Diceros bicornis minor: one gene and its partners. The protein of the gene in region 1 purifies or fractionates together with the protein of each later gene. This does not show direct contact. Links are inferred from orthologs where the notes say so. Each region holds a gene or a part of one and is shown on either strand. Other genes may lie near its edges.

What was found.
Region 2: the proteins of EIF3B (region 1) and EIF3H purify together in Homo sapiens (affinity purification with mass spectrometry; 10 studies listed by BioGRID and IntAct, counting the BioPlex papers as one, with this or other methods). This does not show direct contact. The link is inferred for Diceros bicornis minor from reciprocal best matches to the Homo sapiens genes EIF3B and EIF3H.
Region 3: the proteins of EIF3B (region 1) and EIF4B purify together in Homo sapiens (affinity purification with mass spectrometry; 3 studies listed by BioGRID and IntAct, with this or other methods). This does not show direct contact. The link is inferred for Diceros bicornis minor from reciprocal best matches to the Homo sapiens genes EIF3B and EIF4B.
Region 4: the proteins of EIF3B (region 1) and EIF3I purify together in Homo sapiens (affinity purification with mass spectrometry; 12 studies listed by BioGRID and IntAct, counting the BioPlex papers as one, with this or other methods). This does not show direct contact. The link is inferred for Diceros bicornis minor from reciprocal best matches to the Homo sapiens genes EIF3B and EIF3I.

Annotation. Positions count from the first base shown.
Region 1 is NC_080765.1:12,217,435-12,225,275, reverse strand, and holds the start of EIF3B (eukaryotic translation initiation factor 3 subunit B), read left to right. Parts: upstream 1-4,825; 5' UTR 4,826-4,841; coding exon 4,842-5,316; intron 5,317-7,841.
Region 2 is NC_080760.1:33,255,592-33,263,267, reverse strand, and holds the start of EIF3H (eukaryotic translation initiation factor 3 subunit H), read left to right. Parts: upstream 1-4,666; 5' UTR 4,667-4,703; coding exon 4,704-4,835; intron 4,836-7,676.
Region 3 is NC_080756.1:17,197,985-17,205,588, reverse strand, and holds the start of EIF4B (eukaryotic translation initiation factor 4B), read left to right. Parts: upstream 1-4,599; 5' UTR 4,600-4,670; coding exon 4,671-4,683; intron 4,684-7,604. UniProt on the Homo sapiens protein: Required for the binding of mRNA to ribosomes. Functions in close association with EIF4-F and EIF4-A. Binds near the 5'-terminal cap of mRNA in presence of EIF-4F and ATP.
Region 4 is NC_080752.1:47,009,178-47,016,830, reverse strand, and holds the start of EIF3I (eukaryotic translation initiation factor 3 subunit I), read right to left. Parts: upstream 2,999-7,653; 5' UTR 2,958-2,998; coding exon of another isoform or gene 2,929-2,957; coding exon 2,926-2,928; coding exon of another isoform or gene 2,833-2,925; coding exon 2,740-2,832; intron 1,224-2,739; coding exon 1,136-1,223; intron 830-1,135; coding exon 764-829; intron 1-763. Other genes in the region: TMEM234 (transmembrane protein 234), read left to right, coding at 2,798-2,957, 3,410-3,561, 4,343-4,409, 7,161-7,253, 7,533-7,627. UniProt on the Homo sapiens protein: Component of the eukaryotic translation initiation factor 3 (eIF-3) complex, which is required for several steps in the initiation of protein synthesis.

The DNA of each region.
Region 1 (7,841 bases):
AATTATAATTATACTGAATATAAATAATGTAAACATTCCCTTTAAAAGACAGACATTATCAGATTGGATTAAAACAGTAAGATCCTACTATATGCTATCTATAAAATCCACATTAAATATCAAGCTATTTATAGGTTAAAAATAAAAGAATAAAAAATTTATACCATATATATTAGTTTCCCAGTGTTGCTGTAATTTGTACCACAAACTGGGTGGTTTATAATAACAGAAATGTATTCTCTCGCAGTTCTGGAAGCTAGACATCTGAAATCAAGGTGTCAGCAGGCTTGTTTCTTCTTGATATTCTGAAGGAGACTCCATTTCATGCCTCTCTCCTAGCTTCTGGTGGTTGCCAGCAATCCCCGATATTTCTTGGCTTGTAGATCCATCGCCCCCATCTCTGTCTCCATCTTCACAGGGCATTCTCCTCTTTGTGTTTTTGTGTGTCCAAATTTCCCTCCTCTCACAGGACATTAGTCATTGGATTAGAGCCCACTCTAATCTGATATCATCTCATTTCAACTTGATCACATCTGCAAAGACCCTATTTCCAAATAAGGACACATTCACAGGTGCCAGGGCTTAGGACTTGGACTTGTCTTTCTAGTGGACACAATTCAACCACAACACCAGGCAAATACTAATTAAAAGAAAGCTGGAGGTTAGCTGTACTAGCAGTAGACACTAGAACAGGGGACATCACCAGGAATAAAAAGGAATATTTAAAATGCTAAGGCAGCCGATTCATCAAAAAGACAAAGCAACCCTAAATGTGTATGCACCTGTTATAGAACTTCAAAGAACATGAAAAAAGTGATAAAACTGAAAGTAGAAATACACAAATCCATCATCAGAACCGGCGATTCCAACATTGCTCTCTCAGCCAACTGACAGAACAAGTGGACAGAAAATCAGTAAGGTTTCAGAAGACTTGAACAAAGCTCTCAATCCACTTGACCCAAGTGACATTTATTGAACACTTCACCCAACAGCAGCAGCACATTTGTCAAGTGTACAAGGAACGTGCACCCAGGTAGATCACACTCTTAGCCATGAAACAAATCTCAATACATTTTAAAAAGGATTGAAATCATACAAAGGTATGTTTCAGTCACAACAGACTTCAACTAGAAAGCAATTTTGGAAACATGTCTGGAAAATCCTCAAACATCTGGAAATTAATAACACATTTCTAAATAATCCATGGGTCTGAGAAAAAATCATAATGGAAGTTAGAAAACACTTGCAACAGAAAATACAACGTATTATAATTTGTGGGATGTAACTAAAGTAGCATGTAGAGGGAAATTTACAGCCTTAATCTCAGGTGGTGTCATTCTGCTCCCTCCATCACACGGTTCCCTATCAACCTCTCATCCACCGGTTGCAGGACCATTGCTTAGATCTTTATTTCACAAGGGTTGCAGAATGCTGCCTCTCCAATTTTATTGATCCTTCTGCATGTATTAGCTAGAATTCTTCAATAAAGAAGGACAATCCCTAATCAACTATTTGGTTACCTTAAAATATAAGGTAAAATAAGAGAGGCAAGATTACTTATTTTTTGCTAGAGTCTTTTGTCTTTACAACAATGAGATAATGTCCCAGCAAGAGTCACCAGTGATGAATGTTTTTTTTTTAACAGCATTATGAACTAATGGATTTAAACATACTTTATTTATGTCAATCATATGCAGTTTTTTATTCTTTTTGAGGCTCAAATTGTTGCAGTGGGGGGCCTCTTAAAGCTGGCTCCTGAGTCCTTCCCCCTCAACAATTTATTATAAAAATTTTCAAACATACACAAAAGTTGAGAGAATTTTACAGTGAAGAGTAAATCTACCACCTAGAATCTATAATTAACATTTTTTTTGACCAACACTACCAATACTACTTACCTTCATCAAACACTTTTTTCAGTTCAGCGTGTATCCTTCTAGGCCTTTTTCTATGTATTTTACTTACGCTATTAGTTAGCTCAGGCTGCTGTAAAAAAAATACCACAGACCGGGCAGCTTAAACAACAGAAATTTCTCTCTCACAGTTCTGGAGGCTGGGAGTTTGAGATCAAGGTGTTGGCAGGTTTGGTTTCTCCTGAGGCCTCTCTCAAGACACGGGCTGGCACTGCCTCCATCTGAAGGCTTGACTGGGGCTGGAGGATCCATTTCCATTTCATATGTCTGGCAGCTCGGTGCTGATGCTGTCTGGGGAGCTCAGTTCCTCCACACTGGGGCGCCTCCACACACTGCATGAGTGTCCTCAGGACAAGGTGGCCAGCTTCTTTCAGACCCAGTGATTCGAGAGAGAGTGAACCGGGAGCAAGCATATCATTTTTATTTTTTATTTTATTTTATTTTATTTTTTGTGAGGAAGATCAGCCCTGAGCTAACATCTGATGCCAATCCTCCTCTTTTTTCTGAGGAAGACTGGCCCTGAGCTAACATCTGTGCCCATGTTCCTCTACTTTATATGGGATGCCGCCACAGCATGGCTCAACAAGCAGTGCGTCGGTGCACGCCTGGGATCCGAGCCGGCGAACCCCGGGCCGCCGCAGCGGAGCACGCGCACCGAACTGCTTGCGCCACCGGGCCGGCCCCAAGCATATCATTTTTAGGACCTGGACTTGGAAGGTACACAGCATCACTTCTGCCACAAGCTATTCATGAGAAGCCAGTGACTAAGTCCACCCACACTTCAGAGGAGCAGGGTTTGGCTTCCCCTTTTGAAAGAAAGCGTGTCAAAGAATTTATGAACCTATCACAGATGCACTTTTACACTCACATCTGTGATGCTTTGATTCCTGAATGTTGCCCCTGCTACACTGCAATTCTAAGACGGCAACAATCATACATGCTGTACTCACCACTGTATCCCCAATGCAGAGCACCTCCCACTTAGGCACTTATAATTTGAGTATCAATTACAGTGCTTCTCAGGCATTTGAGGATAGCGGAACTGCTGATCTTGGTCCTCTCCCTAGAACACTATGAAATATATTTTGAAAATGTACGTTTCTTTTTTTTGCATCATGAGCACAACACAATTTCACCTGCATTAAAGGATACAATTTTCCCCTCACTGGGAAATAGTAATGAGTGGCTACTCTATGCAACACATGCATGCCACAAAAGTCTTTCCTAAGAAACATGCAGCTGGCCAATGAAGGTCAACTATTTTCCAGCTTTTTTTTTTTTTGTGAGGAAGATTGGCCCTGCTCTAACATCTGTGCCCATCTTCCTCTATTTTGTATATGGGACGCTGCCACAGCATGGGGCTTCATGAGAAGTGTGCAGGTCTGCACTCAGGATCTGAACCTGCAAACCCCAGGCTGCCGCAGGGAAGCGCCCGAACTTAACTACTATGCCACCAGGCCAGCCCCTGTTTTCCAGCTTTTCTGTGAATATTTGCTTCTTGTTCATTGATTTGTCACCTTTAGCACCTTCTAGAAGAGAAGGGGTAGCATAGCCCAATGATCTATGAAAACTGCAGATACAACTAGAAATCAAGAGCATAACTTTGACTTCTAGGAGAAATCAGTTTGCCTTGGTGAAGGCGGTCCACAGGCCACGCACACAAAATGAGTTACCCCTCATTTTACAGATGGGATAACTGAGGCAGAGATGCCAGGAGACTTGCCCAAAGTTACACGGCTGAAAAGTAAGATGAGGAGGATTCACACCTAGTATTAGGCAACCTAAGAACCCTAGTTCTTTTTTTTTTTCTCTCTTTCAATTGTGGTAAAATATACATGACATTAAACTTACCATGTTAGCCATTTTTCAGTGTGCAGTGCAGCAGCATTAAGCACATCCACACTGTTGTGCACCATCTCCACCATCCATCTCCAGAATTCGTTCATCTTCCCAAACTGAAACTCTGCACTCATTAAACACTAATTCCCCATTCCCCTCCCCCAGAACCACAACCACCGGCTGCCACCAAAATAGGAGCTACAAACACAGAACACCCTTTTCAGAGCGAAACCCACCCTCCAGCGCCGGCCCCGCCCCCGCGGCTGGCTCCGCCCCGCCCCCACGTGACCCGCGCTCGCTCCAGCGGAGGCCTCCGTGGGCCGAACCACGGCGACCATGAGAACGGGGAGAGGTGGAATTACAGCCGCCACGGTGGGCTTGGGCGTAAGTGATTAAAGCAGCTCTCATTCATTTTCGTATCGTGCCAGGCAATCGTCTTCCTAGTCGTGTTGTCCATCTCCGGCTCAACGGCCGAGAATTCCTTTTATGTTTTGGAAGCGTCCATCCATGTGCCCACTCAGTGGACGAGTCTAAACACCGACACGTGAAGGGGGGACCTAGTAATGTAAGCTAAACTGATGAGAGGCTAAAGATATCACAATAAAAATAGTTGGTTGAACTTACAGTTTCTTGTAGTATTACTTTTTGAGTTACATATTTTCCTGCAGTTCCGTATACCAAGATACCTTCTGCTCCTTCCCTGCGGCGTCACCAATAGTTAAGTCCTTCGCCGCAGCGCCCGACGGGAGAAGGAGGTGCCTGGCTGCCATGTTGGACGGAACCACCCGCTCCCACAAATGGGGGAGCTCGAGCTCCCCATGAGTTTGTAGTTACACCAGAGGCGCTTTGGTGATTGGAGTTTCGCACGTGCTTCTCACACGAGCGTTATCGTAATCATCAGTGGACACAATGCTGCCCTTTTGTTCCTCTGGCCACGCTGTCAGGAGTCAGGGCGTGGGCGGCCCACCCCCGCTCCGAGTCTGATGGAACGCCCCGCGCACGCACATGGCCCGCGGTCGGCGCGCAGTGCGACCTGGGAGAGTCGGAAGCGCGGCGCGGCGGGGCGAGGTGAGGTGGTAGCGGCGGGCCATGCAGGACGCGGAGAACGTGGCCGCGACCGAGGCGGGCGAGCAGCGGGCCGAGCCCGGGCAGCAGCAGCAGCAGCAGCAGCAGCAGCAGCAGCAGCAGCAGCCGGCCTCCGAGCCGCCGCCGGGGGAGGACTCGCCGCGGCCCGCGGGGGCCGGCGCGCAGGAGGCGGCGGGCGGCGAGGACGCAGCGGCGGAGGTTGAGACTGGGCTGGGGCCTGACGTGCGAGCCGAGCCCGCAGCCGACGGGGAGGAAGCGGCCGGCGCGGCTCTCGGGTCGTCTGCGGCGCCGCTCGAGGAGCCCCCCGCCCCCGTCCCGGCCGCGGGCGAGGCGCCGGGGGAGCAGGCCCAGGACGCGGCGGCCGAGGCCGGGTCCGAGGGGGCGGGCGGGGAGCAGGGCGGGGCGGCGGAGGACGCCGGCGCGGACGAGCCTTCCTTCAGCGACCCCGAGGACTTTGTGGACGACGTGAGCGAGGAAGGTGAGGCGGTGTGGCTGTCTGCGCGGAGCTTCCCGAGGCCCCGAACGCGGAACGGGTCACCGCGCATCTTGGAGCCCACCAGGGGCTTTGCCCCGTGGAACTCAGCATGGAGGTCCCCATTCTCCACTCGTCGTCCCTCACGTAGGAAAGGTGTCCTGTGACAGCCTGGGTGCTTTCATTTCTCTCCAAAAAGAAAAGAGGGGACAGGATGGAGACTGCTTGGGGAGCCAGTTATTTGCACTCTAACCGGGAATTCGGGGAGTGGCGACGGCGGACGGCGTGCACGCAGGAGCTGTGGCCGTGTGGGCAGTGGTGTGGCTATTAGGGTCGAGCAAACAGGACACTCCAGTGCTGCACAGTCTCGGGTGACAGTTTTCCCTCAACAGGCCTGGATGCCTCGAATGACAGCCACACCTGTCAAATGTCTGAAAGTGACTTAGTGCCGGCTTCTTAGGGGCAGATGGGACGCTATCCTCAGAATAGGTTATGGCAGAGCTGGTTCCTTTGCCGCTGCCCCACGGAAGCGTTTTCTTCCAGAGAGTTCTTAGTAGGACAGTGCCAGGCCGACTCTGCCAGCCACCTGTTTGGTTATCCCTTTTCCTCAGTGTAGGCAGACGCCATTCTTGTGTTGGCAGATCTCAGGGTTTAGTGTTGTCGACTGTAGCTTGCTTTGCCTTCCTTTCTACATTGATTCAATTTATAGGCAGTACCTCTGCTTCCTGCCTGAGAAAGCCTGTCTTCTAAAGTGACTTTTGGTGATAGCTAATCTCATTTGTTTTTACTCGTGTATGTTTTTTTTTTAGCTATTTGAATTCTGCAAGCTGGGAGCACATCAGTGGGTTCCTTTGTGTATTGACTGTTGTAGTAAAATAGGAAAAATAAATAAAACATCAATGAAATAGCCAGTAATACACCAAGAAAATAAGATGTTACAATATCGAGATGTAGATGTGTTTTTGAGATATTGTGTCTGATCACAGTGAAGTTGAGTCTGAATTATAAAGAATCTCAAGTAAAATGAGAAAGAAAACTTAGGGAACCAACACAGAGTTGTCAACTTTTAATTTAAACATAATTTTAAAGAGCTACCTGTTACTGTCGCTGTTAGCGTACATTATTTCGTAAGACAAAAGATATTTTAGCATGAAAAGCAGGAAAGGCTCCACAAGCTAGTGAAGACTTGAGAGCCACGGACTGGAAGCCCCTCAGCCAAGAGGAAATGTGTTCCTTATGGCGAGGTAGGTTGCTGAGAACTCACAGGGAGGCGGTGTCGCTGGGACACCCCCTCCCCATCCTGCTGCCCAGACCAGCATTCTTTTTTACCGCAGCAATTTATATTGTATTGTAAAATCGAAGTTTTGATGTTAAAGCCTATTTTGAGCTCTTCAGTATTTACTCTGTGATTGATTTTTTTAAAGCATTATTTGAGCACATCTAATTCATACAAGATTTCTAGCATGTGAATTATTTCCAGAATTGGAGTGTGTGGCAGTCAGAGGATGCTGCAATGAGCATAGGCCAGCCAGGCTAGGTGACTGCTGGGAGGGCCTTTGGGAGCCTTTGTGATCCTCATATTTTTACCAGAGTGAGCTGTGAAGCTCCTGGTCCTAAGGAACTAAAACTGAGCAGGCCAGCTGTCAGTTTTCTTGAGGCTACTTGGTTATGGTCAGTAGCTCAAGTACAAATTGTGGGGTGAGAATTGCCCAGTAGGGGGTCAGAGAGCACTGCAGAAGGCAGTAAGGGTTCTTTTGAAAATGGACTGAGTCTCCTGAAAAGCCCTCTCGTGGGTGCAATATAAGCACCACAAAGTCATCTTGCCTCATTCTTTGAGACAGATCAGCACTGATACCAGCTCAACACGAGGTTGACATAAGGGAAGCCATATTGTAACTTTGAATGATCTCTGACTAACTCTGGATTTTATGGCCCCTCCCAGCTGCTATAAATTGATAACTTTGTTCTTTTGAGTTCCTTAGAAATGTGGTGATCCCTGGGCAGAGACTCTGCTGATAGCCATCATCAGTGACAGCTGAAAGATTAGGGTACAGGGCGTTGCTCCAGTCTCTGATGCATATCCAGTAAAACAAAAGACTGCCAGGGACTAAGACCAGATGGATGCCCCCACCCTGAGACCAGATGCCCCGCCTAGAGATCAGAGGGATGTCCCTACCATGAGACCAGATGCCTCCCACACCTGGAGACCAGCCCTCTCTATAACTGGCCTGTAGTCTTTGTTCTGTAAGATGGTGCTTTGAGACATTAGTCAGCCATCTTTTCCCTTGCTAGCAAGCTCTTATAAACTACCCTTTCTCTGCCACCATCTTGCCTCTTGACGATTGGCTTTTGTCTCTCAGTGAGCAGATCGTGCCCTGTGTACAGTAACAAGCACTGTCGCGCAGTTGCATCTCAATTAGTCATCCTTTCAGTTTTTCAACTGCCTTTGGTGCTCCGTCAAACTGATATATGATAAAAGTTTTAACTAAATGTCTTCTGTTTTGGCTCATTAAACATTATTTATATTTGCT
Region 2 (7,676 bases), on another chromosome or scaffold:
TTCAATATTTTTTCTTTGGTTTTCAGAAGTTTGACTCTAATATGTCTTGGTGTGAATTTCTTTGGATGTATCCTGTTTGGAGTTTGCTCAAGCTTCTTGAATCTGTAGGTTATGACTTTTCTCCTATTTGGGAAGGTTTCAGTTATTATTTCTTCAGATACCTTTTAATCCCTGCTGTCTTTCTTTGCTCTTCGTGAGACTTCCACGACAGGATTATTACATTTTTTTCTTATAGTTCCAAAGTTCCCCAAGGCTCTGTTCATTTTTTTTTTAGTCTACTTTTTTTATATTGTGGTAACATATACATAAAATAAAATTTAACATTTAAACCCTTTTTGAATGTACAACTCAGCGCCATTAAGTGCATTCACATTGTTGTGCAAACACTAAGACTGTCCATCTTCAAAACTTTTCCATCATCCAAATCGAAACTCTATACCCATTAAACAATAACTCCCTGTTCCTGCCTCCCCCGAGGTCCTGGTAACCACTATTTTACTTTCTCTCTCTACAAATTTGATTATTCTAAGTACTTCATATAAGTGGAATCGTACAATATTTGTTCTTTTGTGTCTGGCTTATTTCATTTAACATCATGTTTTCAAAGTTCATCCATGTTGTAGCATATATCAGACTTTCATTTCTTTTTAAGGTTGAATAATATGTATATACTACATTTCATTTATTCATTCATCTGTTGAAGGACATTTGAGTTGTTTCCACCTTTTGGCTATTATGAGTAATGTTGCTGTGAAAATTGGTGTACAAATATCTGTTTGAGTCCCCACTTTCAAAACTTTTGGGTATATACCTAGATGTGGACTTGCTGGATCATTTGGTAATTATATGTTTAATTTTTTGAGGAACTGCCATACTCTTTCCGACAGCAGCTGTACCATTTTATATTCTGTTAATCTGTGTACAGAATGGGTACTTCTTATGTTCCATCTGCAGTCCACTGACTTTTTTCCTTTGTCCTTTCTATTCTGCTGTTTAGCCCATCTGTTGGGTCATTTATTTATTTAATTTATTTTTTTGCTGAGGAAGATTCACCCTGAGCTAACATCTGTTGCCAGTCTCCCCGCATTTTGTATGTGGGCCACTGCCACAGCATGGCCACTGATCAGTGGCGTAGGTCTGTGCCTGGGAACCGAACCTGAGCCACCGAAGCACAGCATGCTGAACTTAACCACTAGGCCCCTGGGGCTGGCCCAAGTTTTTAATTTTTTTATATTTATTTATTTATTTATTTACTTATTTTGTGAGGAAGATCAGCCCTGAGCTAACGTCCGTTGCCAATCCTCCTCTTTTTGCTAAGGAAGATTGGCCCTGGGCTAACATCCGTGCCCATCTTCCTCTACTTTATATGGGACGCCACCACAGCATGGCTTGACAAGCAGTGCGTCAGTGTGCGCCCGGGATCTGAACCTGCAAACCCCAGGCTGCTGAAGCGGAGCACGTGCACTTAACTGCTTACGCCACTGGGCTGGCCCCCCAAGTTTTTTATTTTTTATTGTGGTATTTTTTAAGTTCTGAGTTTCCATTTGGTTCTTATTTATATCTTCTCTCTCTTGGCTGAGACTTTGAATTTCTTTGCTGAAACTTTTTAAAAATTTGTTTCAAGTTTGTTTGTAATTGTTCATTGAAACATTGTATGATGGCTGCTTTAAAATCTTTGTCAGATAATTCTAACATCTCTATCATCTCAGTGTTGGCATCTATTGATTGTCTTTTTTCATTCAGTTTGAGATCTTTCTGTTTCTTGATGAGATGATGAGTGATTTTTTAATTGAAACATAGAGGTTTGGGTATTTTGCTATGGAACTCTGGATCTTGAGACCTTCTGTTTTAGCTGGCTTCCTCTGACACAGCTCTAGCAATGGAATGAGAGGTGATTCCTTCTTGCTACTGCCCCTTGAGGGTACAAATAGAAGTTCCACATTCAGCCTCCATTGATTCCCTCAGGGATGGAATACAATTCCTTGGGAATTAAATACATAATCAGAGTTCCAGCTTCCACTAGGCCTCCACTGATACCTCCTGGATGGGAGGGGGATGAGGGCCTCATTATTGCACTCCTTGTTACCTTCACTGACACCACCGAGTGTGTGGCCTCATAACCATTGTGGTGAAATCCTGACTCCCCACTAGGCCTTCTCTCACATCATTCCATTGGTGGAGTGGATGGGTGCCTCATTACTGTCCAGCAAAGGTGGAAGTTCAGTCTCCTCACTTGGTCTCCACTGACAGAGCGCAGTGAATAGACTTTTGTTAGAGCTTTTTTGGTCTGTGCCTAATGGTGTTCCAGGTTGCTGGACGTCAGCTTCCGCTGGACTTCAGCTCCAAGTCTGGGGTATATATGGATACATACAGAAACCTGGGAAACCACCAGTGTGTTTTTCCTTGGGTCCCAACATGCCTAGCCAGTATTCCTTCTTCTCTACACCTTTCAGAGTCTTCTTTTGTTTGCTTTATAAATCAGGGGTTTAGTGGTACTTTCTGGGAGGAATAGGGAAAAATATTTCTACTTCATCTTCCCAGAAGAAGTCTGGATTTTGAATATACTTTTAAGATGGAGCGTATAGGATGGATCAGCATAGGATATGAGGGAAACAGAGGAGTCAGAGATGACTCCAAGGGTTTTGGTCTTATCAACTAGAAGAATAGAGCTGTCATCAAACGAGATAGAGAAGACTGGGGGAAGAACATTTTTTGGGAAGGAGGGGTGGTATTTGAACTCAGTTTTGGAAAGCTTAAGTTGGAAGTGCCTGCTGGACATTTAAGTGGAGACGCTGAATAAGCATTGGACATGCTGGTGTGGAGTTCAGTGGAGAGGTCTGAACCTCTGAGATATACATTTGGGAATCATCAGCCTATGCACGGTCTTTAGGGCCTTGAGAGTGGATGAGATCACCATGATAGGGAGTAAAGATAAGGGAATGAAGATGTACAAGGACTGCACTCTAGCGCTGTTAATATTTAAATGTTGGAGAAGGGTTGAGAAATCAGCAATGGTGACTGAGAAGAAAGGAGCAGCCAGTGAGACAGAAAGGAAACAAGGAATCCAAGTGAGGGAAGTGTCATTGCTTCTAGGCCCTTTCTAGTTAGGGTGATCATATTGATTTCCTATTTCAAATGCTACTTCATGAGTCTTCTATCTCCCTCTCTCTCTCTCTTTCTCTCTCTGTATTTCTACCTCTTGGCTCTGGGATGCTTCATGCAGAGGGCCCACATGCACTATCTTGGTTCAGATTAAAAGAACTCCTGTAATGTGATTAGTTCACATGACTGAAAAATCATAGTAGAGTATTTCTAAGGACAAAAAATTGCCAAGATATTTTAAACTTTACTTAGTAGTTTTATTAGTGGTAATGTTGGCATTGTAATTTTGAAACAAAACTATATTATATATGTTGTAGGACAAAGCAATTAGTAAATTTATTATTGTTTGTAAGTAACCTAGGTGTTTTCTGATGCTCATCATTCCAGCTACCCAATGATAGGCCTCCAGCTCTGGTTCTCACAGGAGGGATTTTCATTCTTCTTCTTTTTGGTTATCTTCCTATTACTGATTTGTGGTAAAATTCTACTACAATCAACCTTCAATACTTCTAAATTTGTGGAGTCTTTACTGTGGCCCAGGATGTGGTCTATTTTGATATATATTCATGTGCACTGGAAAAGAACGGATATTAACCTTTTATTTTGTATCATTAGGAATTTGTCAGGTGTAACTCTTTCTGTTCCCAGATCATGATACAACACAGGACACCACCGACAAAAACAACAGAAAACTTCAGAGCCGGATATGCCCTTCCTTGGTGTAACCACTTCGTCAGTTCTGCATAGATATTTATTGAATGAGTAAACGTTTCAAAAGTGAAGAATAGAGAAAATGTCATTTGGAAGCAGAGAAAGAATGTTTTAAATCCCTTATTTAAAATGGTTTTCTAAAGCTAAGTATTCTTTTAAAGACTTGAAACATATATTTCAGAGAACCTACATCATAACTCAGTGTGATTTTTAGGGAATACGTTCTGCATCATCCTTCAACACTTTACATAAAATGACTTCTTTGGTACTTTACTCAGGTAAATCCTACATGAACCTAATAGCAAGAAAGGGCTATTAGTTCTGGGGATGCTTATTAAAGTTCCCATGTTTTAATTAATTTCTGTGTAATCTGTCTCTAAAGACCGCTAACTAAAATTACATAAGACAAACTGCAATATCAGATCGCCACTACTGAACAGAATGACGTTGGACAATTCACGTCACAGTTTCCTAACACGTGTAATGGAAATTAGTACAGCCCTTCGTAGTTTACAAGATTTTTTTAATAAAAAAAAAATTAGAAGTGAAAGCATTTTTACGCATGAGACGCTAGAGAAATACGAGCTATAATGCTATTATGATAACTGGCTAACGGACACTGACTAAACATAAAATAGAAAACATTTTAAAAAGTCTACTTTTTCTTAAGACATTCAACGGGGGACCAGTCGCAAGCGCACACTGCGCATGCGCAAAGGATTCCTTCGGCGACGTAGGCTAGGCTAGAAAAAAGAAGGGAGGCGGGGCTCCAAGTCATCCTTTCCTTTCAGCTCAGCCCCTCGATCGCCGGGCGGCGCTTGTCGTCAAGCGACGTTGTACTTCCGCTTCCGGTTACTCACGTTTCTCTCTCTTCCTGTCCGGCTGGAAAGATGGCGTCCCGCAAGGAAGGCACCGGCTCTGCTGCCACCTCTTCCAGCTCCGCCACCGGCGCGGCGGGGAAAGGCAAAGGCAAAGGCGGCTCCGGAGATTCGGCCGTGAAGCAAGTGCAGATAGATGGCTTGGTGAGTGGAGTTCTGTCTCCCCAGGCCCACGTGGGGAGCGCAGTTCCCAGCCCAGTCCCGCTATCCGCGCTTCCAGCCAGCTTTTTCTCTGGGCTTAGTGAGGCTGGGCCAAGGTTTTCCCCTAAAATTCTCCTCTTTCATCTTCACATTTTGTTCGGGTGACGTGACAGCCTTCGCTGCCTTCGGGGTGGGGGGTGAGGGCTGAGAAAGGGGATCGGGGCTGGGGTTGTGACAGATTCTTGGGATCTTGTTTTGAGATGCTTGGGAGAGGGGCTTTGGAGAAAGACTTCTGGAGACAAGTAGGTGACGGAGGTGAAGGGAAGAATCTAGGGTTCGAGTTTAGGGCTTTTGCGAGGGGAGAGTAAGGGAAACTTTATTGCTTCTCTGCTGGAATCTGACATTTCGAACTTCCCAAATGGAGATTTACTTTGTAGCCACTCTTGAGGCTGTGTGTCAGCGCTACACGTGAAACCGCATGATTGCAGTGAACGTCTTTTATGTTGGTTTCTCCTTTCCGTGTGTGTGAATGTTGGCGTGCCCAAGGATTTGGCTTTCTGCTTCCTTGTGTCTAGTCTCTGCTTGACATAGCGCAACAAAGTATAAAAGCACACCTCTGGAGCCAGAGTGCATGGTTTGAATCTCAGCTCTCAAATTAGCTGAATGACGTTGGGCGAGTTACTTATTCTCTTTGTACATTCTTTTCTTCATCTGAATTGTTTTGAGGATTAAAATTGGCTGAATATGTGTCAATAACTAGAACAACGTCTGAGACATAGTAAGCTACCGTTTTATCTTAGCTGTTGTTACTGTGTGTAGTAGTTATCGGAGTAGTCTTTAAGGTATTCTCGTCCCTTCTGGTGGCTTTAAATATTATTTATATTCTCATAACTCCTAGATTTATACTTTTGGCCAGACTTGGCTCTTGAATGCTGCTCTTGAGTACCCAGCTGCCTGCTTGACATCACTATTTGGCTATTTTACGGGCACCTTAATTACAAATTGAACATGTCTAAAATAAAATTACTGACTTCTCCCCCTCATTCCTCTCTGCCCCTCATTGGTCTTACCTCAGTCTTTCCTGTCTTAGTAAGTGGAACTACCATCTATCCATTTGAACAAGTTCGAAAACCTAGGTATTAACCTACAGTTGTTCTTGTTTTTTATCCTCAACATCCAGTCCCTCAGCAAATCCTGTCGGTTCCACCTCCAAAATATATCAAATTTAGCTGCTTCGCATTTATATGCCACCTGCTATGTCCACTTCAGTAAAATAGAGACTTCTTACCACAGTTTAAGGTCCTGCTACTCTTGTCTCTTTCTCCAAACTCACTTCATGCTTCTTTCTAGGCTCCAGTCACAATGACCTTTCAGTTCTTTGTTTTCTCTGCCTGAAATACTCTCTCAAATATTTTTTCCTTCTCAGTGGCTTCTTTTGATCTTTTAAGTCTCGGCTTGAATGCCACCATCTCAAGAAAGACCTTGCCTAACAACCTTCTTAAAAGTAGACCCCTTGCCACCACTCTCCATTACACCACCCTATATTTCCTTCATAGCATTTTTCACTGCCTTTAACTGTCTTGTTTGTTTTCTTGTTTTTCTCCCCCACCAGGATGTAAGCTACTGAGGGCAGGCAGGGACTATGCTTTTTCACCTGTTATATTCCATACTGAACCCGTTAACTGACATAGGATAAATGAACGAATAACATTTCATTTTATTTTTGTACTGTTCCTAGTTCATGTCTTGGTATCTTCTTTTATAGATTATTCTAATGGCATTTTGTGTTGTTCTCTTAGCTCTCTTCAGTCCATCTTTCATACTTTTATTAAAACATTCACTTAATATGAAAGTTCAGATCTTGTCAGCTTCCTTCCTGACGTGTTTTCAGTGAGTTTGCGATGAATTCAAGGCCCACCAAGATGTTGTCTTTGCTTTTGTGTTTAGGTTTATTTCCTACTATTTCCAACTTTCATAGGAACTGTACATTCCAGCCGCACAGGACTGTTTGGTTAGCCTGATGTTTAATCACATTTGTTCCTGGCACCTTGATAGTGGCCAGGACCAATTTTTCTTCTTGTATTCTTGAACTTTTCCTTTCCTACCTTTGGCCCTGTTTCATCAATTCTTCTGTATCTTTAATATTACCTTTTTCTTAATATATAAACATTGTCAGGACTTTCCCATGTTAAAATGTTCAGCTCTGTCTCTTTTTGCTTAGCATTCTGTGTTCCGTTCTTAGTCTCCATTTTTTCCCTTTTGAAGTCAATGTTTAGAGAATCATCTATGTTTGTGGTCTTCCATTTTTCCTTTAAGTCACTGCTGTTAGAATCTGCCACCACCAGCTCCCTGACTTAGTTTTTAAAAAGATCATTGATAGCATTAGCAAAGAACTGTAAAAAGTATCAAAATGTATATGCAAAATAGTGTCTATAATGCATAATTTAAATAACCACAAGATAAACATCCAATTACCTGCCGTTCAACTTGAGAAACAGAACATTACGAATATCTTTGAAGCCCTTTCCACCATTTCATTTTTTCCTCCCATCCTTTCTCCCTACCATATTCTCACTACTGTGAGCTTTGTTTCAGTCATTTTTCTGGTTTTCTTTATAGTTTCACCACAGAGTATTCCTAAACAGTTTGTTTATCTTTGCCTGTTTATATTAATAAATGTGAATGAAATTTGAATTAAATCATAGTATATGTTCTCCTGTGTCTTAAGTTATATATATATATGCATATCTCACACTGTGATTTTGCAGTTAGTTTGTTCTAGAGTGAGTAGCTGTAATTTGTTTTTCATTTATTTTCATTACTATATAGCGCTTCGTTGTATGA
Region 3 (7,604 bases), on another chromosome or scaffold:
AGCTTCAGCCACCCTGGACCACACTGGGCTGGCCCACCCCACATCAGTACCTTTTTCCAAGTTTCCGCTCCCCTCCAAAATCTGCTTGTCTTTGTTTCACAGCTTTTAGATAGTGGTGGGCTTTGTTTGTTTGTTTGTCTTCTTCCAGAGTTTACTGTTGTTATCTACAAAAGGATCAATCCATTGGGAACTTATTTACTATACCAGAAACAGAACCCCTAGATAATCTAGATATATATTTAAAATTAACCTTATACATTCAAAACTGTGATGAAAAGACTTTTATTTTGGAGAAATACACATCTTTAAAGCAGCAATATATTTTGTTTTCCAGTAATGAACACTAAATGAATCCAGGCATATAAGTCAATATACAGTATAACCTCTTGAAAACCTCAATAAATGTAAATTTCTTGAAAGTCTTACTTCAGCACCAGCAAATATGTACCGAGCACCAACAATATTCCAGATGTTAATTCACGGAAGGCATAAACATAATCAACATGGATGCTGCCCTCCAGGAGCTACCAGACCAGGAGGGAAGGCAGTTCAAGGAGGAAGGTGACAAGGGCCGAAAAGAAGGTGTAGGCACAGCGCTGGTGGGGCTCAGAGGAAGAAGCTCAGAAAAAGCTTCCTAGAAAAGGGGAGTTTGAAGAGCCCTTGAAGGATAGATTTTATTGTTGACCCATTCGGCAGTGAAGGAGGACAGAGTACTCCAGGCAGAGCGAAGAGCAAAGGAAAACAAGACTCAAAGTTAGGAAAGCACAAGGTATACATGGCTGGAATGTAGCAGACCAGGGAGGATAGTAGGAAATAAGTGTGGACCAGTAATCTGGGGCTGGATATCCACAGCCTGGAGTATCTGCCTAGGCCACAGAGAGCCATGGAAGGTTTGCCAGCAGGGGAATGTGTTCAGACCTATGCTTTAGGAAATAAATCTGGCAGCTACTTATTACATGTATTGAAGCAGGGAAAGACTACAGGCAGGAAGACTCAGAAGAGTGACGCATGGTCAGGGTGAGAAATGACACGGGAAATGATAGGAAAATGGAAAAGAGGATACGAATATAAGAGACGCTGCAAATGTTAGGCCTTGGCAAGTGATTTTCAATAACCAGTTTCTGACCCACAGAAACTGAGATAACAAATGTCGGTGGTTTTATGCCAGTAAGTTTTAGGGTAATCTGTTATACAGCAGTGGATAATTAACAGTTTATTTCTTCCAGATTTCTTCAGAAAAAATGATACAAAGTACTTGTCATAGACTTATTTTGCGATTTTAAGTTTTCTTTATTTCTATTTATTTATTTATTTTGCTGAGGAAGATTCACCCTGAGCTAACATCTGTTGCCAATCTTCCTCTTTTTTTGCTTGAGGAGGATGAACCCTGAGCTAACATCTGTGCCAGTCTTCCTCTATTTTGCATGTGAGCCGCCGACACAGCATAGCAGCTGACACAGCATGGCCGCCGCCAAGTGGTGTAGGTCTACGCCCAGGAACCCAACCCTCGAACCCAGGCTGCCAAAGTGGAACACGCAAACTTAACTACTAGGCCACAGGGCAGGCCCCAGTTTTCTTTACTTTTGAGAAGTCTCTGGGAAACTGAAAAGAACGTGGACCTGATAAGACAGGCAGCTCTGGGTCTGCAGTTCTGCCACTTGCTGGCTATGTGCACTTGGGAAAGGTACTTACTGTTTCCAAGCCTCAGAGTCATTATCAAAAATAGGATTAATAATATGAACCTTTCACCAACACACCGCTTGGCAAGCCATGCTGTGGCGGTGTCCCATATAAAGTAGAGGAAGACGGGCATGGATGTTAGCCCACGGCCAGTCTTCCTCAGCAAAAAGAAGAGGATTGGCAGATGTTAGCTCAGGGCCGATCTTCCTCACAAAAAAAAAAATTAAAAATAATAATATGAACCTTAGAGGGCCATTGTGAGGACTAAATAAGCTAGTTTGTTTAGTGCTTGGTATGACCCTGGGATATATTAGGTGCTTAGTAACTGAAAGTCTCTACCTACCCCACAGGTCCCTACCTTATCTGGCTCTTCTTTGAACTTTCCGAAATCTACTGTTTCCAATAGTCAATTTTTTTTCTTAATTCTCCTATATCATTCCATTTTAACGATCCAAACCAGAAGAAATACAGAATCTCAGGCCTCGCCCTGATCCTACTGAATTGGAATCTGACTTTTAACAAATTGCCCGGGTGACTTGTAAGCACATTAAAATATGAGAAGCATTGGACTAGTAGCTATCTCAAGTTTCATATGGCTTAAACAGAGCCCACACACTCTCTCCAAACCTGCTCCGCCCCGGGCTTTGCCTTCTGAGTAAACGGCATCACCCAGGTGTTCATGCCAAAACCTGTGCCCTTCACATCTAATCAGTCTCCAAGTCTACTTCCAAAATGTACCTGCATCTCTCTCTTTCCATCTCTACACTCATATCTAAGCCACTATCTCCTCTCACCAGGATTACAGCAGCCAGGGCCAACTTATCCAGTAGGCACAGCAGGCTCAGTACCTAGGCCCCACCATACTTTTAGAGGCCCACAAAAATATTTTAGTTTATTTTAAAATCATAAGAAAAAAATAAACATTTAGGTCAAAGAAAATGGTTTAATGTATCATATTAATACATTTGCGTTTACACCAGCACAATCATAAAATATAATTTTCAATATTGTTTTTATGGAGAAGGGTACAAAAGTCCCTAGAGTCCATGAAAAGTCACAATGGGACCCTGGCAGCAACGAGCTTTTAACTGTCTTTCTCTTCCATTACTGCGTCTGTATAATCCACTCTCCATTCAGTAGCCTGAGTAATCTTCTTGTTTTTAAATTCAAGCATGACTTCTATACAGTAAAGTGCACAAATATTTTTTTTTTTTTTTTTTTTTTTACTTTTCCCCCAAAGCCCCAGTGGATAGCTGTATGTCATAGCTGCATATCCTTCTAGTTGCTGTATGCGGGACGCGGCCTCAGCGTGGCCGGAGAAGCAGTGCGTGGGTGCGCACTCGGGATCGGAACCGGGCCGCCAGCAGCGGAGCGCACGCACTGAACCGCTAAGCCACGGAGCCGGCCCAAGTGCACAAATCTTAAGTGTACTATGTGATGAACTTTTACATAAATATCCACTCATGAAACACATCAAGATACCAAGTAATCCTTTTCAAAATTTTACTTCGTTATGACATTCCCTTGTCTAAAATCCTTTCATGCTTTCCCAACCCACATGGAAGAAATTCCAAACTCCCAAACCTGGTTTAATAGTTCACATGATCCAACCCCTACCTATCGCTCAAGCTTCATCTTGTACCACTCTCCCCCTCCCTCACCATACTCGAGCTACCAGTCCTCTTTTTTTTTTTTTTTTTTGGTGAGGAAGATTGTCCCTGAGCTAACACCTGTGCCCATCTTCCTCTATTTTGCATGTGGGACCCCACCACAGCATTGCTTGATGAGTGCTGTGTAGGTCCGTGCCCCGAGTTCCAGGGGGATCCAGGCCACAAACCCAGGACTGCCTACAAGGAGCACGAGAACTTAACCATTACGCCACCTGGCCGCCTGCTACCATCCTTTAAATCCCTCAACCTGCCAAGATCCTCCGGCCTTGGAGCTTTTAATTGAGTGTGCATCCTCTGCCCTCTCCTAAAGCTCTTCCTAAAGACGTTCACAGGGCTGCCTATTTGTAATTCAGATCTCCATTTACATATTACTTCCACAGAGGCTTTCGCTGACCAGGCAATCAAAAGTTGCATCCAGTCGCCTGTTATCAAATCACCTTGATTACCTGCAGAGTGCTTATCATTTCTAACATTTTATTTATTCACTGCATATTGCCCGTCTTTCCTTCACTGGACTATAGCGTCCTTTGAAGCGGTTTTGTTATCTCTTGTACCCAAAAAGCCAGTATCAGTGCTTGACACAGGGCAGGTGCTCAATGAAAATTTTCACGGCATGAAATACTAATATATGATAAAATGTAGCATTAGCTGGATAGCTGTGAAATACGGGCCTGAGTCTGACTAAAGCTAGTCATTGAAAAGAAAGATTAAACGAGGTAAAAGCTGACGGCAATTAAGTGTTCAGTATTTGTTACTTACTTATTCCTTCTAAACATGCCCAATTAAAATGATCCTTAAGCAGGATATTGCGCTTGTTTTGCACGAAAAGTGATTTTAAAAGAAACTTAGTAAATAAACCACAGATGTTTTTACACATGGGAAGAAGAAAAAAAAGGAAGAAAGAAACTCAGAATCTTCCCTTCCAGAGAATCAACCGCAGCACACCCGTTCCAGGTTCCAGCCGCTGCATTCTGACCCCGAGCAATAGAACCAGCGAGCACCACCCCGCCCCTTCCGCCCACCCCTCGGCCGGAAGTCTGAGAATCAGAGACCCCGCCCCGGGCTCAGAGCTGCCCCCTCGGCCGCGCGTAGCCATACGTAAAGCGTGGGGGTTTCGCGACAGCCCAGGCCCCACCCCTTTGGCCACATGTCACGCAGGTCTTCCCCGTCGGACGCCGCGCCACCTCCTCGCGCTGCTTTACGAACCCAGAGCAGCGCCGCCCCGCCCCTCCCAGTTTCGCGTCTCCTAGCCCGACGGGCCCGCTATAATCACGTGATCGCCTCATCCGGGTCCTTTGCGTTCTCTCTCCCTCTCTCAACATGGCGGCCTCAGGTGAGTGAGCGGCCGAGCGCGGCCAAGGACCGGGCTCCGAAGCCACTCTCCGAGCGTGATCCAGTGGTTCCTTGGAGTTGGAGAGCGGGCGGCACCGCTTCCCTTCGGGTTTTGGGGCTGCGGCAGGCTGGCGGCTTGGCCGTGTTAGGTTATCGCCTCGGGATGTTTTGGGGGGAGAGGAAGGACACCTTCCCCTCTCCCTCACACCCTTTTCACCCCGTGTGCGCAAGGTTGGAGTGGGGAGTAATGATGGGCTCTGGCTAGAGTTGGAGTGAGCAGGAGGCGCAGAGAGATCTGTGGGAGGCGTGAGGCCTTCTCACACACGGGCAGCCCTGTGCCCGCGGGAAGGCGTGGAGAAAGGGAGGAGGCGGTTGGCGCGCGGACGGGTGCACACCAGACCAGGTCTCCGAGGCGCGAGGCCGTTGCGGACGCGAGGGGGGGCTGGGGAATAAAGGGGGGGGCAGTTAGAACGCGAGCGCGAGTCGGCGGAGGGGCGGGGGAAGGTGGCGATGCGCGTGCGCGGTAGGAGAGGCCAGGGTAGTGGAGACAGGCGCGCCTTAAAAGCACGCGCGAGAGCCCAGATGGGGAGGTGTTCCGCGCCTGTTTTGCTTTCCTTTGTGTCCTTCCACTTTCTGCTCTTCCCCTTTTAGAGGTGGCTTGGTCCCTATGTTCTCCCGAGGGTAAATGTGTTAAGTTTGGAGGTTGAAGCTACTGGAGTTAGGTGGGGGTAGGGAACCCAGTGCGGTGCGCCCACGTGTTGGCGGAGAGGAAGCAAGGGTGGAGACCCAGATTTCTTGTAGGCTTTTTTTCTTATTCAATCAACACATACTTACTGAACGAAAACTATATGCCAGGCACGGTTCTAGGTGTTGGAGATGCAATGGGGAACAAGATCAAATCCCTTGACAGCTTCCATTTTGGTTGAATTTTGATAGCTCCAGTGGTAGAGTTCAGCTCTCTCTTTTTTTAGATAGCTGCACAACTACTACAGAGTGCTTTTAAAATAATACTAGTGGCTAGAGTTGGTTTCCTTTTTAGACTTCTTCGGGAGAGGGAATGTCACTGTCAGGCAAATCTATTTGCATTTCTAATAGGCTTACCAGTGAGCTGTGCAACGATTTCGTAGCATTGGTTTTAGTTTTGGGGATATAGTTTCTTTTTCCTCGCATGACCCTGCATTCTACAAAACATTTATTGAACCCTGCTATCTCTGGACACTCACTTCTAACCAAGAATGTATCTTCTCTGTTATTACATAGGAAACTAAGGATTACGTATGTCTTTGGAAAATGTTGAGGAAATTGAGGTGTATTTGAGCTTAATTCCCTTCATTGGCATAGCACTTGACAATTGACCAAGCACTTTTATATGTATTGTCTTATTTGATTCTCTTATTTGATTGTCTGTGAGATAATGTAGGCAGATGGTGGTATCTCCCAGCTGAGGAAGATGAAATTTTGTTCAAGGTCAAACTGCTTGCCAGTCGAAATTTTTGAGACTCTTGACTCTTCTACATTATCAACTTGGAAATGACAAAGTTGGCTTCCATGTCATCATAAATTTGGGATGCTCCCTGAAAGCTTCATCTGAAGTAGAGTACTTACTTGGCCTGGATTTGCCATCTTGATGGCTTAGTGTCATAATTTAGTGAAAAGCCTATATTCCCTTTCTCCATAACTTTTGTGGAATTTTTAGAGGTGGAAGATAATGTTAGCAATCCGTGTCCTTCATTTTACGGAGTTGAGTGAAATTTGCACTGGTTAAAGTGGTTTGCTTAGTCTTTGTCCCCTTCACCTGTTCTTCGATGTTTACCCTACACCCTTGGAAGCCCTCATGTCCTTTAAGTTGGTTCCATAAATCTTTCTGGCTTGTGTACTATGTGTAAGGGAACTACGCTAGTGTCTGAGCAGAAGGTTACATCTGACGGTCTGCCCTTGAGGAACTTGGGGTTTATCAAATTTCTTTCCTTACTTTGAATCTTCCAATTGCATTGATTTTGTCAAGTGACCAGTATTCACAGATGTGGCTGTATTGATGAGACTATAAAATTCTCAGTGTATTTTCAGTATACTACTTGATAATGCTCAGTGTCTTGTTGAAAATAGACCTTATATGTTCTCAGTGAAAGTACATGATAAAATTTCATAGGCCTCTTCTACTGTTAAATGACACCAAAAAATTCTTTGCAGCAATACCAGTCAGTATCCATTATGACCCATTATTGACCTTCAAGAACTGAAAGTGTCCCAGATTTGACTATTGAATCTGCTCTCCTTACCTAAAAGGAATCGAATGTGCTTGATACAGGTTAACATTTTTTGAGACTAAAAAGCTTTAAAATTGGAAATAGTGTATGTATGCCCACACAAGGCCTTCATTTGCATAGCGCTTCAAAATGCCATTGCATGTGGCATCTTGTTTTATGGGGAGAGGATGGTGTCCAATGGTTGTTTTCATAAAATGCTGACCCTTATAGTTAAAAATCACTTCAGTGGTTGCCATTATATACTGTTCACATGTTACCTATTTTCAAATCCCATCCCCTACTAATATTTGTTATTCTAGGAGTAAGATACCCAGATTCAGAAGGCCAAGACTTAAAACTCCTTATAAAAATTCAAGGACAGGGGCTGGCCCTGTGGCGTAGCAGTTGAAGTGCCCGTGCTCTGCTGCTGGCGGCCCGGGTTCGGATCCCGGGCGCACACCGAGGCACCGCTTGTCAGGCCATGCTGTGGCAGCGTCCCATATAAAGTGGAGGAAGATGGGCATGGATGTTAGCCCAGGGCCAATGCTATAGGAGCCAATCTCTGCATAACTGCTTTCTTTCAAAGCATAGAGTAGGTCTAGAATATAATCTGGTTGGTCATGAATGATAACTTTTGGAGTAGGATTAGTGTTAAGTCACTTGGGAAAAACATGGA
Region 4 (7,653 bases), on another chromosome or scaffold:
TGGAGCACTGCTCACAGTGGACTGCAATATACCTGTTTCCCCCTCGGAATATGCTCCTTCACAGCAAACACCCGCTCTAATTTCCCTGTGTCCCCAGCGCCCAGCCTAGACCTGGCACAAAATTGGGGACTCGGTAAATATTTACTATATGGAGCAGCTTTCATAGGCTCCCCCGTCTTTAGTTGCAGTTCTTTCCCCACTGCTACCTGAGCTTGCTAAAACTAAACACAGACCACCACTCTTCCCTGCTCAGCAACCTCCACAGCATGCCACGTCCTACAGAACAAAGCCAAGCTCCTGAGTTTGGCACTCAAGGCCTGTTCTGGCCCTAGCCTGCTTCATCTTCTCCACTGACTATTTCATCCCTCAAGCGGGAACTCCTGCCAGATCATATGACCTGGACACGACACTTGCCATGCTTTCATTCCTGCATGTGCCAAAGTGATGACCTCTTTCTCATCCTTTAAGCCCCAGCTCATATGACATTTACCTTGGGAAACCTTTCGGGCTGCTCCCATCCCCCTGCCAGGCAGTCAGTCGCTTCTCTCTGGCCTTCCACCGAGCTCTATGCTTCCTCTCACATGGCTCATTATCTTCCTGCAGTGCCTCTTTTCTCATCTGTCTTCCTTATTTTCTTATCTGTCTCTTGTTCCCTAGGCTAGGAACCATCTCTGGATTTATTTCTATTTCCCCAGAACCTGTTCACTTAAACAGTACACTGTAGGTCCCCACTGTGCTGAAAAAGTGAATAGCCCAGGCTTACCTGTTTCACAGTCCCAGAGACGACAGCTGTTGTCAGCTGAGCCAGTGAGGACATGCTTGGTGTCCCCTGAAGAGGGTGTTAAGAAACATGACTGAGTTCACCTGAGCCCTTGTCCTCTTGGGAGCCAACTCAATCATCTCCCTTTTCAGCCCCAAAGAGCTTTTCTTCTTCTCTCTTACCTCAGAGGTTTCTCACCTCCTCATCTAGAACTGGAACTTGTCCTGAATCTTCCCCCAATCAGTGAACAAAGGGAGTAGGAGGCTTCATTATCTAGACCCACAAGAGCATCCCAAACTCCCAACCTCCAACTCAGCAGCTTTTCCATTGCTGGCAGACCCTGGGAGCATAGACTCAGGGCCAAGACAAGGATACAGTCAGCGTCCACACACCACACAGCTCCAGTATGGCCCATGTAGGTGCCCAGCCTCTCACCATTCACGGAGTACCATACATTGACAATCTGGAGGGGTCAACGACAATGTGACAGGATGGTACACAACCCAGGCAGAGCAATAGCCTCCTATTTTGCCCCAGGAACCCTCACCAGCCTCTAGCCAGGCCAGATTCTGCTCTCTCCTGCTCATCTCTTGGGAAACAGCAGGTTGCTGGTAAAAAGACCAACTCCTGGATTCTCCTCCTTCCTACAGGTAAGCGGCAGAGGAGTCAGGAGGCTTGCAAAAATGTCTCCATCTGCCACTGTCCCAGCCCTCCCCCAGACTCCTAAGCCCTCAGAAGAATAAAAGGTCAAGTTGAGTGCCAGTCCAGAAAAACAGTAGCTTTGGTGTCCTGTCCAAGTGGGAGTACTTGGTAGTAGGGAAGCCTGGGGAGTCCTTGCTCTGCCACAATCTCACTGTATTATCTCAGATACAGTGCTTTTCCCCTCTGAACTTCAGTTTGCCTATCTGTAAAATAGCCATGACAATAATGCCATTTTCAAAGGGTAGCTGTGAGGCTCCAATAAAATGATTAAGGAATTTAAAATATAGGTGACTAACATTAATTAGGCACTCATACGCACCAGGTGCTAAGCTCCTTACTTGAATGATCTCATTTAATCCTAAAGACAATGCCATGGAGGAGGTACTATCAGTACCCATATTTTATAAAAAGGGAAACTTGAAGTTTATAATTTTATTTATTTATTTATTTTTCCCCAAAGCCCCAGTAGATAGTTGTATGCCATAGCTGCACATCCTTCTAGTTGCTGTACATGGGACACGGCCTCAGCATGGCCGGAGAAGCGGTGCCTCGGTGCGCGCCCGGGGTCCGAACCCTGGCTGCCAGCAGCGGAGCGCGCGCACTTAACTGCTAAGCCACGGGGCCGCCCCAAAACTTGAAGTTTAGAAAGGTTAAATGACACACTCAAAGTCACATTGCTAGTGGATGCAGGGGTCAGGATTCAAATCAGGCGTTTGGCTTCCGCATCCCCACTTTTACCATTAGAGTTAACTTCATCCATGGGGAGGTGCCTCAAAAGGCGGTGCTGTGAGGGCCTGTTTACAATCAGTGAATGGCAGGATGGGGCCCAGAAGGACTGACTGAAATGAGACCAAGGACACCTTTATTAAGTCCTCTGTGTCCCTCACCACCCAAACATCAGCTTTCCCCTTCTAGAGGTGGCTTGTTCCCCTCTCCAGGTAGAATAGTTTTGTTCTCCCCCAGAGTGGTCTCCTCCTGGTCCCCTGAACGAGCTGACCCTTGTCCCCGTCCTCCTTCCACAATGGTCTCTTGCTTTTCTTCTCCCCGGCTACTCCCTCTTTCTACCAACAACTGAGTTCTTTCCCACCTTTCCTGGTAGAATGCTCTCTCCTACCTACCCCCAGGATGGTCTCTCCTTACTTCTCAGAATAGGGCGCTCTTTGGTTCCCCTCTTGCGGCAAAACTCGCTTGTCCACCCATCGCCCTCCAGAATGAACGCGCCCCCTCCAGAGGCCCTCCGCATGATCCCGCCAGCCCGCCCTCCAGCCGAGGCTCACAGGGTCCTTGGCCACCGTGAAGAGGAGGTCTCCCTCGCGGTTGTACTTAATCTGCGTAATGGACCGCTCATGGCCCTGGAGAAGGATCGGCTTCTGTGGGGACAGGACGGGAGAGTCAGCGCCCAGAACCGGCCCCTGTCCAGACCCGGACCCCCAGGGCAACACCTCCAACTCAGGGGAACTTACCATCGCAGCGGTGACGCGAGGAGAGCGGCAACGTGAGTAGAACCGGAAGAGGCTTTGCAGCGGCTTCCGGATTATGGGTCCCCGCCCCTTCGTTCCCGGAAGTGGAAGGGAGCGGCGTTGCCATGGCGGCGTCTCTCGGTGGGTAAGGCGCCCCGCCCCACCATGGCTTACCGCCCGTCTACGGCCTTCAGTTTCCACCTCTGGAGTTCGCTTCCTACTCCACGTCCACCTCCACCTCCACCTCACCCCGACTCTTGCTACAGCCCCAAGCCCCGGGCTCCTGGATTCATCTCCCCGGCCTTCCGGGGTCTGTCCTACCCGCGAATCGCACCCGCAGCGTCGGAGAGCGAAGGAGGGAGGTGGGGGAGGCTAGCTGGGCATAGGAGGCCGGGAGAGGGCCGGCCGGGATGGGAGGCCGGATGAGGGCTGGGCCCGGCGGGCGGCCATTTGGGGGTAGGGAGGGGTCACTCGCATCTCCATCCAGGGCAGGTACTGGCCTTGGTGCTGGTGGCCGCTCTGTGGGGTGGCACACAACCGCTGCTCAAGCGGGCCTCCTCCGGCCTGCAGCAGGTTCATGAGCAGACCTGGGCCCGGCAGTTGCTGCAGGAGATGAAGACTCTCTTCTTGAATACTGAGGTGCGTCTGTGAATGGCCCCTCTCTCGGGGATAGTGGCTAAGAGTTTAGTCTCCTGAGTCAAACAAGTCTGGGTTAGAATCTACACCCCACCACTTACTCGCTAGAAGCTCATGGACAAGTTACTTGTTCTTCTTGAGACTCAGTTTCATCATCTGTAAAATGGGAATTATAATGGTAACCATTTTATAGGGCAGTTGTGAGGATTAAGTGAAGTGAGTTACAGGGCCTAGTACATAAGTAGTGCTCAGCCTATGGCTGCTATTATTAATATTTTATTATTGTGATCCCTCCAGTAGACCTTTCCAGAGCGAGGGCTTGGGGCCCAAACTGGCCCTGGGGAGGGAGTTTAAGGAAGGATATGGAGAACTCCCTCTGACCCCAACACTGCCAGTCTAGGCTAGTGGAAAAGACAAGACATGGACACAACCACCTCTCAGGGCTAAGGGGTATGAGAGAGGTACAGATAGTTCAGAGGAGGGAGGCTGGAGTTAGGGGACTTGGGAAAAGCTTCCTGGAGGGAGTGACATTGGCACTCAGGGACTTGCAGGATAGGGGGTATGGGAACTAGGAGGGCTGAGGGAGGGGGCATTCAGGACAAAGGCATGGAGTTCAGTCAGTAACTTTCCCTCTGCCCTGGAAGGGTCCTTTTCAGAAGGCTCAGTGCTCCCTGGGCCCTTATAGCTACCCCTCCCTCCAAGGAAAGGCATATCCAGAAGCTCAAAGTAGACAGTGCTGCTCAGTCAAGCAATCACACTGACTACAGATTTCTTCTGTTTTCAGTACCTGATGCCGTTTTTCCTAAACCAGTGTGGTTCCCTTCTCTACTACCTCACCTTGGCATCAACAGGTGGGTCTCTGGCTTAGAACTGCTATGCTTAGTGGTGGAGGCCACCTGGAAGAGTCACTTTGGGGAGGGAGCCTGAAGCACCTTGTTCCCATGGGTGAGGGAGAGCCCACTGCCTCTGGTTCCCTGTGCACCGCCTTCTCTGAGCAGAAGGAGCACAGGGGGCTGGTTGTGAGTATGCTGCCAGGCACTAGGCTTGGTTTGAAGCCTGGCAGTCTTGTGCAGCAGCAGAGGAAGAAGGAGGGTTCACTTTGCTGTGTCAAGGGCTGGCTTTGATGCTCTTGCTTCCACTGCATGCTACCTGCTTGACCTTGAGCAAGTCCCTCATGTGAACCTTGGTTTTATACGACTGGCTTCATAGCATTGAGAGGATTAAATTCAGTGTATGAGAAGCATCTAGCAGAGTACCTGGTGCACACTGTAGGAGCCCAATAAATATAAATTTCCTTTCCCCCATTGTTTGTTGACTGCCCTCTACTGCATCAGATACTGTGCTAGTTTTACACATTTTATTTAATTCTCATCGTGACCCTGTGAAGGACACATGATTATCTCCATTTAGGAGATGAAGTTACAAAACTTTGGGCAACTTATTTCATCTCTCTTAAGTCCCACAGCATGTCAGTGCAGAAGGGTTTGAAGCCATGTATTACTTAAAGTTTATGCTCTTTAACTTTGCTATGAGAAGTCTCCCTGTGGTGGCTTCACCTCCTCTGGAGTCTCACCCAGGCCCTCTGGGGACTTGAAGGGAGTTTGGGCCCCAGATAGCTCTGGGGAACCTCTCAGGCCATGGGTGGGCAAGGGGATAGGCCAGTCTCCAGACCTGCTGTGTCAGCTTCAACTAGAGTCACTCCACTTTCATCTGTTTTACATTTTGGGCTTCTCATAAGACTTCATTTAAAAGAAAGTTTAAGGGCTGGCCCAGTGGTGTAGTGGTTAAGTTCGTGCACTCTGCTTCAGTGGCCTGGGGTTTGTGGGTTCGGATCCAGGGCACAGACCTATGCAGCACTCATCAAGCCATGCTGTGGCGGCATCCCACATACAAAATAGAGGAAGATGGGCACAGACGTTAGCTCAGGGCTAATCTTCCTCAGCAAAAAAAAAGAAAAAAGAAAGTTTGAAAGACTTGGGCACTCCCTGCTACCCAAGAATGCTGAACCCTCTGGCCAGCTGACTGCGGTTGGCCATTTACCAAGTTTTGGGCAAATGGCAATTTTATGATCCTGTTATCTCATCACCTACTCTGCCTCTATCCTTTAACATCCACCCATTCTAATAATCAGAACAATGGTTACTATTTATTAAGCATCTACTTCAGCCAGGGACTATACAGGCATTGTCATATTTCATCTTGCAACAACCCTGTTGTAAGTAGATGCTGTTATCTTGCTATCACTGTTTTACACGTGGGGAGCGGGCTCCGAGTGTTTGAATGAGCTAACCGAGACTACACAGGGACACCCAGCTCTGCCTCTCCAGTGCCCTTGCTCTTCCAGTGCAGCATGCTGCTTCCCTCCCCCATCTACCATTGTAACCCAGTCTTTAGCAGCCATGGCATTTGTTGTAAGGCATGTAAGCTTAAGGAAGCAGGTCTGAGTAGTAGGAGTTGTGTCAGTTTCTTGGATGGGTAATGCCAGCCATGGTAGGGCCTCACAGGGGATGAGGAGTGGGACAATTCTCGCCTCCACTCACTACCTGAAACAGGTGAGGCCTGGGAGTGCTGGGAAAGAACTTCTTGAGGAGCCAACATGAGCATCCTGGTCTCGCTGGCAGTTAGGAGTTTTGTAAACAAGTAACTCAGCTTCTGATTTATCCATTAGTTTTTTTTTTTTTTTTTCGTATGTGTGTGGTAAGAACACTTAACATGAGATCTACCCTCTTAACAAATTTTAAGTGTATAAAATTTAAGTGTAACACATTTTAAGTTAACAGAGTTGTTAAGTCTGTTAGTCTTTTTCAAGTCTGTTTATTGGGAGTCAGTCACTCGGAGCTTCAAGACTAAGGAGCAGATCCTGGGCTCTGGTGGCCTCTCCCTAAGGCCCAGCCCTGTGGGGCCTGTCCTGAACAGGTACCCGGCCTCCTCCTTCTAACATTCTTTTTTCGTCTTTAACTCCATAAGGCCCAAGCCTGAGCTGAAACAGAAACAAACTGTGCTTCTCCTTCTCTTTTGGTTTGTCCATATCCATTTAATTCGATAAGGGCACAGGCTTGGGAGTCAGGCAGACCTTGGTTTAAATCCTCAATTTGCCTCAATTTATGTGACTTCTTTGAGCCTTTGTTTCCTTTATCGATGCAAAATGATGACAGTGCTGTTCTTGCAGTGTTGTTGTGAAGAGTCAATGAGACATGGACACAAAGCGCCCAGCACAGAATATGTGCTTAGTATGAACAGTGGCTGTGCTTCGTGTCACTGCACTCATTCTGCTGCATCCTTTGGGCTTTGGGTGCCTGTCTGTCCAGATGTGCTTGAGATCTCAGGAGCTCTCTTTGAGTGCAAAGACCTCATCCTTAGCAGCAAACCAGGGTGGTTCCAGACTTTGTAGTTCAGATTTTCATGCTGGAATCTTGAGGGAACATGGAATTTGGAGTTAGGAGACCTGGCTTTGAATCCTGAGCTTGGCTGTGACTTCGTCTGGGAAATGGAGTCCTGAGATACCGTTTTTTAAAAGGCTGTCTTGATGATGAAATGAAAGTGTTTTGTGCTTCGAAAGGCATTTTTGCATCTCAGAGATTCTTTTCATTCTGCTCACTCAGATCTGACCCTAGCTGTGCCCATCAGCAACTCTCTGGCCATCGTCTTCACACTGATTGTTGGGAAGGTCCTTGGAGAAGATATTGGTGGAGAACGTAAGTCGGGCCACTGCAAGTGTGGGAAGCAGCTACTTGGGCCTTGATACCCCTGTTTTGGTTCTTTCTCAAAGCCATGTCCCATGGGTGGGGGAGGAGAGGACCTTCTCCGATCCTGCCCCTTTCCTCTGCAGCTCTCCTGCTTCCTTGGGGCCATCAGAGTTCCCTTCCCCTGGACAGTCTGGGGACACACCCCATCTAAGCCCTTCCCTCAGCCCTGTACCAGCTCCTGCTGGCATGGCTGGGCTCAGAGCCTCTTATTTCTGCCCATTACCGCAGGAGCATTCGCAGGCATTGTGCTCACCGTGGCAGGAATCACCCTCTGCATCACAAGCTCAGTGAGCAAGACCCAGGGGCAACCATCTACCCTTTGAGTGGGCCGACACCACCCTCCAGCTCT